2 linked regions of the Schizosaccharomyces pombe genome follow. Changing the gene in region 1 together with any one later gene gives a genetic interaction. Each region holds a gene or a part of one and is shown in the gene's direction. Other genes may lie near its edges.

Region 1 (3,419 bases):
CATGGACGTTACAAACTACAGACGCCTGGAAATGCTTCAAACGGAAAAGCTGTACTTCTACTTTTAAAGTCATTTGTTGGTACCGGTGTACTCTTTCTTCCCAAAGCGTAAGTTTTATGGAATTAACGTTTTTTTATTTTATTATTTCCTAGAATATTAACCGATGTCTAGCTTTAAATTAGGTGGATTGGTATTTTCAAGTGCGACCCTTCTTATTGTGGGAGTATTGTCTCATATTTGCTTCTTACTTCTCATTCAGACTCGAATGAAGGTACCTGGAAGTTTTGGTGATATTGGGGGAACTTTATATGGTCCTCATATGCGATTTGCTATTCTTGCTTCTATCGTGGTTTCACAGGTAAGTTTTTAAATTTAAATATTTTACTAAATGCATTAAGATTGGATTTTCGAGTGCTTATATTTCGTTTGTTGCTAGCACATTACAAGCATGTGTAAAAGTTATATCCACTACTCACCGAGAATACCATTTAGCTGTTTTCATTTTTATTCAGTTTTTGGTATTTGTCCCTCTATCGCTCGTTCGCAAGATATCAAAACTTTCTGCTACTGCTTTAATTGCTGATGTTTTTATTTTGCTAGGGATATTATATTTGTATTTCTGGGACGTGATTACGCTAGCCACTAAAGGAATAGCCGATGTTGCAATGTTTAACAAAACTGATTTTAGTTTATTTATTGGTGTTGCCATTTTTACTTACGAAGGAATTTGTTTGATATTGCCTATCCAAGAACAGATGGCTAAACCAAAGAATTTACCTAAGCTCCTCACAGGTGTGATGGCAGCGATCTCTCTCTTGTTTATTTCTATTGGGTTGCTGTCTTACGCTGCTTTTGGTTCAAAGGTCAAAACGGTGGTTATTTTGAATATGCCAGAGAGTACTTTCACCGTTATTATCCAATTCTTGTATGCTATTGCAATTTTGCTTAGTACCCCATTGCAATTGTTTCCTGCAATTGCTATCATTGAACAGGGAATTTTCACTAGAAGCGGTAAAAGAAACAGAAAAATTAAATGGAGGAAGAATTATCTTCGTGTCTTAATTGTTATTCTAGCTATCCTAATATCTTGGGCGTACGTTTTTCCTTTTTTTTTTTATTTCTTCATTTGCTAACAATTTAGTGGATCTTCACGTCTTGATTTATTTGTAAGTATGGTAGGTAGCGTCTGTTGCATACCGCTTATCTATATGTATCCGCCGATGCTACATTATAAGGCTTGTGCAAATAATTGGATTTTACGTACTCTTGATATTTTTATGTTTACTATTGGTGCCTTCGCAATGGCTTTCACTACGTACATGACATTTTTTTAGGATTTTCACTCGTACGATTTTATATTTATAGGTGGTCTCCATTGATCCTTATGCATTTCATATTACTTTTGGAATTTTTTTTTTCAAAATTTTACATATTTCCTCTAGACTTAATTATTAACGGGTTTACACTGCAAACGCTTTTTCAGTGGGACACTAAATAATATTTATTAATTACTATATAAGATACGTCGAATATTTTACAGATACCGAAAACTATTTGAGGCTTAGGATTAAGAAAATCGTATTTTTAACATTGAGAAAGAAGTTTGTTTAATATTGTACATTTTATTTTTACGCAATTTCAGCATCCACAATCTTATTTGTTAGCGTACATTTGGTGCTGGTGTAAATGCTATATTAAAGACTGGCCCGCTAAAATTTAAAGCAAGTTGGTTTACCTTAGTCATAATTTGTGAAGAATAATCATGGAAATAAAACCCAATTTAAATCGTTTAAAAAATTATTATTTAATATACATATATATTTCTTTTATTTTTAGAGACTAAAATATTCATTAGTCCGCCTTATTTTACCATATCAGAAACACCAAAACCTCTAAATTATCACCACCGAACGTAGTAGTATAAAGATTGATTTTCTTCAAATGCAATTGTCTGCTTCTTTAACATAATTTACTTTTTTTGACGTATCTTTTCTCAAATCGCCCATGAATATTGAATCGTTCCTTAGAATTTACAAATAAAAAAGGAACAAATGATTATTCGGAAACAAATTTTCCCATTTCTAAGTCAAAATAGACCTTGGACGATTATTAATAGAATCCAATCCGAAAGATATTCTGCATCTTATGAACCAAGCCCTGAATTGCTTAAACAGTCTTCCAGAAGACTAGAGCAGGCTGGTTATTCTGTAAAAAATGCAGAAACAATTACTAATTTGATGAGGACCATTACTGGAGAGGCGTAAGTAAAAAGTTTAAGAGCTTTCCAACTAACGTTATAGGCTTACAGAGTTAGAGAAAAATATAGGATTTAAAGCTAAGCAGGAATCTGTGTCGTTCCAGCAAAAAAGAACATTTTTACAAATTCGGAAGTATTTGGAGACGATTGAGGAAAATGAATTTGATAAAGTTAGGAAAAGCTCTGATAAACTTATTAACGAAATTGAAAAAACCAAGAGTTCTCTCCGCGAAGACGTTAAAACCGCTTTGTCTGAAGTCAGATTGAATTTAAACCTTGAAAAAGGACGTATGAAAGATGCCGCAACGTCTAGAAACACAAATATTCACGAAAATGAAACGAAAATTCTCAATGAAGTGGATATTTTACACAAAGAAATTAATGACATGAAAATACAAACCAATCAATGGTTCACCGGTTTCGTTGGAGTCGTATCCTCCGTTGTACTGATTATTTTGTTTTACTTTTAGTGATTATCCTTAATAAAAATGTTTACGTGATAATATGCTTTTACTCAACTTCAGTAATCAGATCAAAAAACTTGTTAATACCTAAGTCAATTCTATTTAAACGGTTAAACAATAGTAACGTTATTTATATTTTTTCCCTTAATTCCACATAAAAAGAATGCACTCTTCGTCCCGTCAGCTCATGAAAATCAATATTCGTTTTATATATTGATAAATTGTAATTTTAAAGTAAAGTTTGACCAAGACTAGTACGAACGATAGAGCGGGCCAAGTCCACCGTAGTCTTGGCCTCCTCTTCATTACCAAGTAGTGGATTAACCTCCATAACATCAACAGCAACCAATGTACCGGATTCAGCTACAGCTTCGCAGATGTACATTGCCTCACGGAAAGTCAAACCGCCTGGAACACGGGTACCAGTGGCTGGGGCAACGATGGGATCGCAAGCGTCAACATCGAAGGAAAGATGGACAGGTCGTCTCTTACCAGGATTGATGTGCTCCATCGCCATCTCAACGACACGGCCAATTCCGTATTTGTCGACGTGGTGCATGGTATAAGCGGCTATGTTACGCTCACGAAGAAAAGCGCGCTCCATAGGATCTAAATCACGCAATCCAATAAAAGCCAGACGACGCTCTTCAATAACTCTCTTGGTCCAAGCAAACTCTTCAGGGAGAGGCTCGGCGTAT
Region 2 (7,467 bases), 1.0 Mb from region 1:
TAGAATGTTTACAGGAAAGCATATGAGGGGATATTCTTAACTCTAACACCGCATATGTGCATTGACGGCGTGGTATGTTATATCAAATATACTTTTTTTGCTTTATACTGTCTATGAATTAAAAAGGAAAGTGGATTTATCGAATCATCAGGCAAATTCGTGTTTCGCGAGTTTTTACATATCAAGAAATTTACGTTACTTATAATTGATGGTTAGTTAATCGTTTATTGCTTCATTAATTTACATCTGCTTCGTATCTTGAATGGAATGTTCTTGCTATGTTAACCATCTCGGATCGAGCAATTTAATTACTGTATATACGAAATTACAATTATTAAGTTAGAAATCATTTAAATAACTGAGAAGTATTGACTTTGTGTCTTTGCTGCGCACTGAATAAAGTGATTTGGTAAGCCTCACTTACTGACCTATCTCATCATCTACCTACCTAAAGAATCTTCATAATTAGCACAACTAGTCGTTCAATTGGTTTTCAATCTCTTTAATTTCATTATATTTTGCAAAATCAAGTACTTGCGTAATCGTTTATGGTCAGTATTTGATTTTGAGCGCATACCCCTAGCCTTAAGTTTTTTTTTTTGTTTTACTACTTGTGGTCATTAACCCGACGAAACTCTGCATGTTGTTTTAACCATACAATAATTTCCTTTTTTACTATCATATCAAATTCGCTATTATCAAGAAAATCCATATTAACGAGTCAGGTCGACTTGAAATTAGACTGTTTGGACTTCTCCTTCTAAACGGAATACGTTAACATTATTATTTTCAAGTGTTTTACTTATCTAAATATTTGTCTTTATAGCCGAATATGGCAAGTTTTCATATAATCGTTTCTTATGTCACTGTTGTTTTGGCTATAATTATCGCCATTACATTTGCTGCTAGAAGATTTTGGATATCTCGCTATCGAAGTATCAGATATTCACCTGTTGAAAATTCTTTTGAAGCAGATTTCAACAATGGGCTTAACTCCAGTTCATTTGATATCGCCCAAAATATTCTAGCTCAGGACACTCGGGCCGGCCTGGACGAAGCCGCTACTTCACAAATTCGTGGATTGATGAAACAGCTTCAGTGCTCATTTGATCAGGCAAGACTCATCTATATCCGTAAAGTCATGAGTGACAACAACGTTGACTCTACCGGCATGCCACTTGACAATAAAGCTGTTACAAAACTTTAAATGTCATTAAGCAACAACTGAAATCAGAAAATTACGCAAAGTCCTAAAAAATCTTAGTTAGTGTCTCCGAAAATATCTCAAAATCTTCATCGGCGGCCGGAATTTATTTTTTATTTATTTTTCCAGAATGGTATGTTAACTCATGGATACGAAAACATGTGGATACCGATTTATTTCGTTAGTTATGGAAACGAAATATAACATTGTCATAAGCTTTCTCAAACTTTTTACGATTCATGGACTTCCAAATCTTCAATTACTGCTAACGCTATCAATAATTCTTAAGAATTAATGAAATGTTTATCTTCAATGTTCTGACGATCCGCTGTACTTTCCATGTTCTATTTGCTATATGTTACTTTTGTGATCATTTGCTGCAATATATCAGCAATTCTCGAGATAGTAAGGCTGGTCTAAAAATTTTTTTAGTATTCGAACTAGCTGTTACTATTTTCAATACGGTAATGCTTCAATTAGCTAACCGTGTAAAAAACGGGCTCACCCTTGCAATATTGATTGTCTCTGTTGTAATGTTTGTGTATCATCAACAGCTAATAGTTAATTGCAAAAAGATGCTAGCCTTATAATTATTTGCTTTTCAAATTCCTTGAAGAGTAAAATTTTGAAGAAATATTTTGTTTTATCATGTTTGATAATGATCAAAGTGAAATTTCGTTTATTGTTTAGTTTATTATTGATACTTTAAGAGTCAGTAAGCTTATTAAAAGAGAGGTAACATTGTTTTTGAAACTGCGTAAGCAATATACGGGGCAGCAAGGAAGAGTGACAAAACTGGTGAAAAGTTTTAAGGTAATTGTTTAGCGCAGTACTCAGAGTCATTTAGCAATGCGTCATCTGGTATGTAACCCGCAAGGAAAAATCACATGTATGCTACTTCCATCAGTGCAGTCGTTTTGTAACCTTCTTTCTACAATTCATAACACACAACCTCTTTCTTTTTTTTGAACAATCTGTGAGGGTCTTATCGATTTAGACAGCATTTCGCCTCCTTCATTCATTATTTATTATATTCCCTGATGTAGAACAAGAAGGCCTTGCGATGGACGCGATTCATCCCGTATCTTTACGAAATAGTAAAAGACATCCATTACTGCATTCTGAAAGAAACCTCAGCCGCCGTGCAGTTTCTCCAAGCATAAGCAGATCATTTTTTCAGCATTCTAATGGATCCTTTCCCCTATTTCAGAACCACAGAAAGAGCTTACCTTCCGCTATATATAAATCCGTAGATCCATATGTTGATGCCAACCCACTAGATCCCTTAGCTGCTGCCAAAGCGAGTTTTGCGGATTTTCCTGAACAAGATGATTCTCAAAGTTCCACTAGTCCTTTATCCTCGAAGTATCACACCAAAAAGAATAAGCAAATTTTTGTCGAGGATTCAAGAAGAGGCGGGGCGGCTTCGAACGCGGCTGCCATTGCGGCTAAAAAGAGTGGTTATTATGAACGTACATCAACTAGAAAACGGTCGTTGACCGTTCCAACACCTCGTACATCTTTTCCGCATCATCCTCGAAGTCGACGATTTTCATTAAAGAATGCCGCAATTGCCACTTCTTACCACAAATTCAAACCTCTTTCATCCAATTCACTTTCTTCTTCCGGTATGCATTTTTCCGCTAGTAAACAGGCCTTCAACTCTCCTTTACTACAGACTTTCAGTCCTTCCCCTTCTGTATCTCCATTTTCGAATCCAGCCGTAGAGAAATTGAAAACCAGTGCGAGCAAGCAAGCGGCTGAAGCACAATCTTTAAGAGAGTTTGATTTTTTCACTCCTACTCCTGAACCCTCAGATAAGAATTTGGAAAAGCTGAAAAATGGTGCCAGTAAACAAGCTAGCGAATCCCAATCTCTCAAAAACATGGAATCACTTTCATTAGCAAGATCTTCACCAATCCTTACTTCAGAAAAGTTAAAAAATGGAGCTAGTAAGCAGGCTATTGAATCTCCACCTTTCAGAGCTTCGGAACCACTACCTTCATCAAATATTATACCGAATCCTGCTATGGAAAGGTTAAAAAATGGAGCTAGCAAACTAGCTATTGAGTCCCAACCATTTAAATCAGCGGAACCGTTATCTTCAGCAATTCCACTTCCCAATCCTATGTCCGAAAAGATGAGAAATGGCGCCAGCAAACAGGCTATTATGGCCCAAAGCTCAAAAATCAATCCCTTACCGCCACTAACAGCTTCAATTTCAGACCCGTCTTTTGAGAAATTAAAGAACACTGCTAGTAAACAGGCCATTGAATCTCAATCTCTAATGAATAGTGGCCCTGAACTTTTAGAGCCGTCGATTTCAGACCCAATGTTAGAGAAAATGAAGACTGATGCTGGTAAACAGACTGTTGAATCTCTGTCGTTGAAGAGTTCTGACGCTACAATTCCAAAACCATCAGTATCAGATCTTGGGGTAGAAAAACTTAAAAATGATGCTAGTAAATGTGCTGTCGAGTCTCAGTCCTTAATGATTAATGATCCCTCTGTTTCTTCAACCTCATTTTATAACCCAAATATGGAAAAACTGAAAAACGGTGCCATCAAGCAAGCTATTGAGCACCAAGCTTTAAATGCTGCCATTTTGAATAAGACACAATTACCTTATTTTCATCAATCATCTTCCGAACTACCAATATCTGCTAGCAAACGGGCTGCATTGTCTCAACAAACAGAGTCGGCCTCAAAGTCATCTAGTAATATCTCTGAAATGTGTGATTCACATCCTCCTTCTAACTTTTCAATCTCTGCTAGCCAGCAAGCTAGCAAGGACCGTTTTTCGGAGGCTACTTCTTCTATCGATTTGGATCTGAGTCCTGGTAGAAGTCTCTCTTTGGCTTCTAGTAAGCTTTCTGTGAAAGAAGCTGGTGCTCGCGTTTATAATAGAAGCGTTGCTACTCCAGTAATGACGCCGTCCAACCCATTCGAAATTTCCAAATCAGCAAGTCAGTTAGCGAGTATAGCTCAAGTACCTGTTTCCGAACCCGCAAAGACTTCAGAAGTGAACCTTAAAAAAAGCCTTTCCTTAGCTTCTAGTAAACTTTCTTTTCAGGAAGCTGGTACCTCCCTTAAAGAGAAGACTGCAAATGTTCAACATTCCCCGGAAGTTTTGAATGACCGCTCTTTGGCGTCACTTTCTGCTAGTCGGCATGCTGATGCCATATCTTCGAAAAGCAAACAACATACTGAAATCGCGCAGCCAGCATTTAATACGACTGGAACTGTGCTAATGAAGACAAAATCAAACCTTTCAGATTCTGCGTTAAGCACACCACAACATTCTGATTCGGTGCTTTTCGATATTACTTCTAAGGCTGCAAGGCTCGCTTCTACTTGTGCTAAGACAGATCTACACAGGAAACCAAGGAGAAAACATAAATCATTTACCCTTGAGAATTATTTTGGGCATAATGCTGAAGACGAAAGCCCTCAATCTGACGAGGTTGAAAGTCAAACGCCCCCTTCAGGATATTCTGAAAACGATATCGGCGGAACGGACATATACCCTTTTGCTTTACAAGGAGCTGCTTTGGCTGCCGCGAAAGACTTTTCAAGACGTGAAGCCTCCTTAAGTGATAGCCAATCCGCTGCTTCTATGGATATGTTGCCTATGAAGAAGAAATTGTCCCATTCATCTGCATCTTCTACCCGTTCTATTAAATCGTTATTAACTAATGCTAACCAAAAGCATATTCATTCCTCTATAAATGAAACTGATGATATTCCTACAATGGCCGCTCATATTGTTGCAACTGGTCAGAAAAATAAAGAAAAAGCACCTTCTTTTTCTAATGATCAGGCCCTTGATCACTTGCTTGGGTCTGCTCATAAACGAATTCCTTCTAATAAAACGGAATGGTCGTCGTCATCATTGCACATTCCTTCGCATAATTCTTTTTCTGACATCCATCATAGGAAAATAGCTGCTCATGCTGCAGCCATTACGGCTGCTTCCGAAAAACTTACACCCTCCATAGAAGAAACGTCGTATTCTTCGTCCAAGGCCCATGATGCGTCTTTGAGTGCTGCCACTCTAGTTGCAAATAAGGATAAACTCATTCACGCACCTACCCCTCAAGTCCTGGCTCCTGTGCTGCCAAAAGTTTCACTTCCTCATCGTCATTCAGTTTCACTTGGTCAAATTCGAGGAGAATCTGAAGTTGAAGGAGATGTTTTTTATGATGCTCCTTCAGATAAAGAAGACCTTGGATCTTCAAACGCTCCTTTAGATGTACCACATGGTGCTAATCGTAGCAGCATGGATGAAGTTAACGGTTCAAAATACGATTACAGTGATGGAATACTTGATGGCTCAGGTCAGTATACTGATAGTGATATGTCCGATGACGAGAACTCTCTCAAAGATTCGCAAAGTTCGGTTTTAAGCTTTTCAGCTGTTCCCACAAAAGTATTGAAATTTAAGTTGCGTGATGTATTGGGTTCTGAGTATTCTCCATCTCCACAACTGCTTGCCTCTTCAAGTGATGTTTCAGGCTCATCGTCAGCAGTACGCGCAGCTATGAAAGCAGACAAAATCTTTCCAGCTGTTCATGAAAACCCACCTCCTTTAAAAACGAAGCAATCAATTGCCAAACCTTCACCTCATACATTGCGAGTTCCTCAGAAAAAGCATAAACATTTTTACCATCGTGATGACGGAAAATACAAGAGTGGAACCAATTTGCGTAAATCCGAAACTGTTGATCTCCCGCAGTTCTTTATTGATGAAAATCGTAGAAAGCTCTATGAAGGGTTGTGGGCTGCTAATAAAGGTTATTTACTGAGCAAATCAGAATATTCCAAACCGAATGATTTGATTTGCAATATTGTTGTCCGCGAACTCTGGTCTCGTAGTGGTGCTCCAACGAGTGTTTTAGCCAAAATTTACGATCTCGTTGATAGACATCACACAGGTGTCTTGGGGCGTGATGAATTTATTGTCGGTATGTTTCTGATCGATCAATATTTGAAAGGCCGCAAGTTACCGTTGAAGGTACCAGACTCTGTATGGCTAAGCAGCAAGCGTATGGGGGATATGCTTTGGCGATTAGAAAAACTGCAGAAAAAGACAGATAATAAAAAACCTTTCTTCAAAAAAAAGAAGAAAAAGAGAAAACATTTGAAAAAGTTTTTCGACTTTAATACAACAGCAAAGGTGAACGAGGGCGCGATGACTGACTAGAGAAATCAACATCGGGTCCTCTTTTTTTTAACGGGAAATATCTTTAAGCTTATCAACATTTATTAAAAAATGGCATTTCGGTATTACTTCATTAAGGTCTTTTCATTTGAAACACTCCGTTGTGAACCTGTTTTCGTAAAGCTTTCGCTATTTTTGCGAACCACGTTTTCAATCAGTTGTTAGTTTGCTTTTGTTAATCGTTAATGATAGTACTTTCTGATCTATTTAAGCTGTCGATTGTTTTACTCAATTTGCAGATATTTCACAACCGAAGCGACCTTTTTAAGCGAAAAGAAGGACTTTATTTTTACATCATAACTTTTCATTTTGCAAAACTTTTATTATTCATTTTTACATTTTTTTATGCATTACCCTTTTTATTACTTGATTAATTACTGAAGCATAGGTTAGATTTACGCTTAACGAATTCCTTGGATACCATTTGCTTGTTTGTTATAAAATTTTTCAAGTATTATTTATATCCTTTAATTAGCATTTTTTAACTATAATAAGCCAACACAAAGGTTTAGCAATTAAAACTAGCCAAAATACTGTTCGATGTAGATTTTTTTTTTAAAAAGACATGACTTCTTTATTAAACAATCTTGCTAGTATGAACTTGTCCCAATCCATAATGTGTTGTGACTCACTTTCGATCCTTAAGTTTAGAGGTAAATAAACCAAGTTCTCCAAGGCCATGATGCCGAACTTCTGTTTTTAATGTTAAAATCATAAGATATTATGGAGTTAGCTAAAATTGGAGACAGGCTTAACAATTATTACAATAATATTTATACACTTTCCGAAAAACTTGGGTATTCGTTTACAAAGATCAGTTTTAACAATATCATCTTGGACGCTTTGTCAGGACACCAAAGAAAATTGGAGATCAAAATTATAAATATTGAGTCAAAATGCAATGAATTATCTTCTGAGATATCTCTTTTAAGAAAAAGACTGGGCATCATCGAAGAAATCGAAATACCGCGCACTCTAATTGACCAATATGAATGCCTGGTAACTTACCATAATGGTATTCGAGCAATCTATAACACGAAGA

What was found.
Region 2: mutations in SPOM_SPAC3H1.08C (region 1) and irs4 together harm fitness more than expected from each alone (negative genetic interaction), as found in Schizosaccharomyces pombe (one large-scale study listed by BioGRID).

What each region holds. Positions count from the first base shown.
Region 1 is NC_003424.3:1,944,734-1,948,152, reverse strand, and holds SPOM_SPAC3H1.08C (uncharacterized protein), read left to right. Parts: upstream 1-1,902; 5' UTR 1,903-2,051; coding exon 2,052-2,260; exon of another isoform or gene 2,261-2,300; coding exon 2,301-2,727; 3' UTR 2,728-2,760; downstream 2,761-3,419. Other genes in the region: vacuolar amino acid transmembrane transporter Avt3, read left to right, coding at 1-107, 172-358, 399-1,093, 1,142-1,334; arginase Aru1, read right to left, coding at 2,951-3,419.
Region 2 is NC_003424.3:912,825-920,291, forward strand, and holds irs4 (ENTH/VHS domain protein), read left to right. Parts: upstream 1-2,137; 5' UTR 2,138-2,267; coding exon 2,268-6,407; 3' UTR 6,408-6,951; downstream 6,952-7,467. Other genes in the region: SPOM_SPAC1687.07 (uncharacterized protein), read left to right, coding at 833-1,207; SPOM_SPAC1687.08 (uncharacterized protein), read left to right, coding at 1,504-1,794; protein mcp1, read left to right, coding at 7,149-7,467.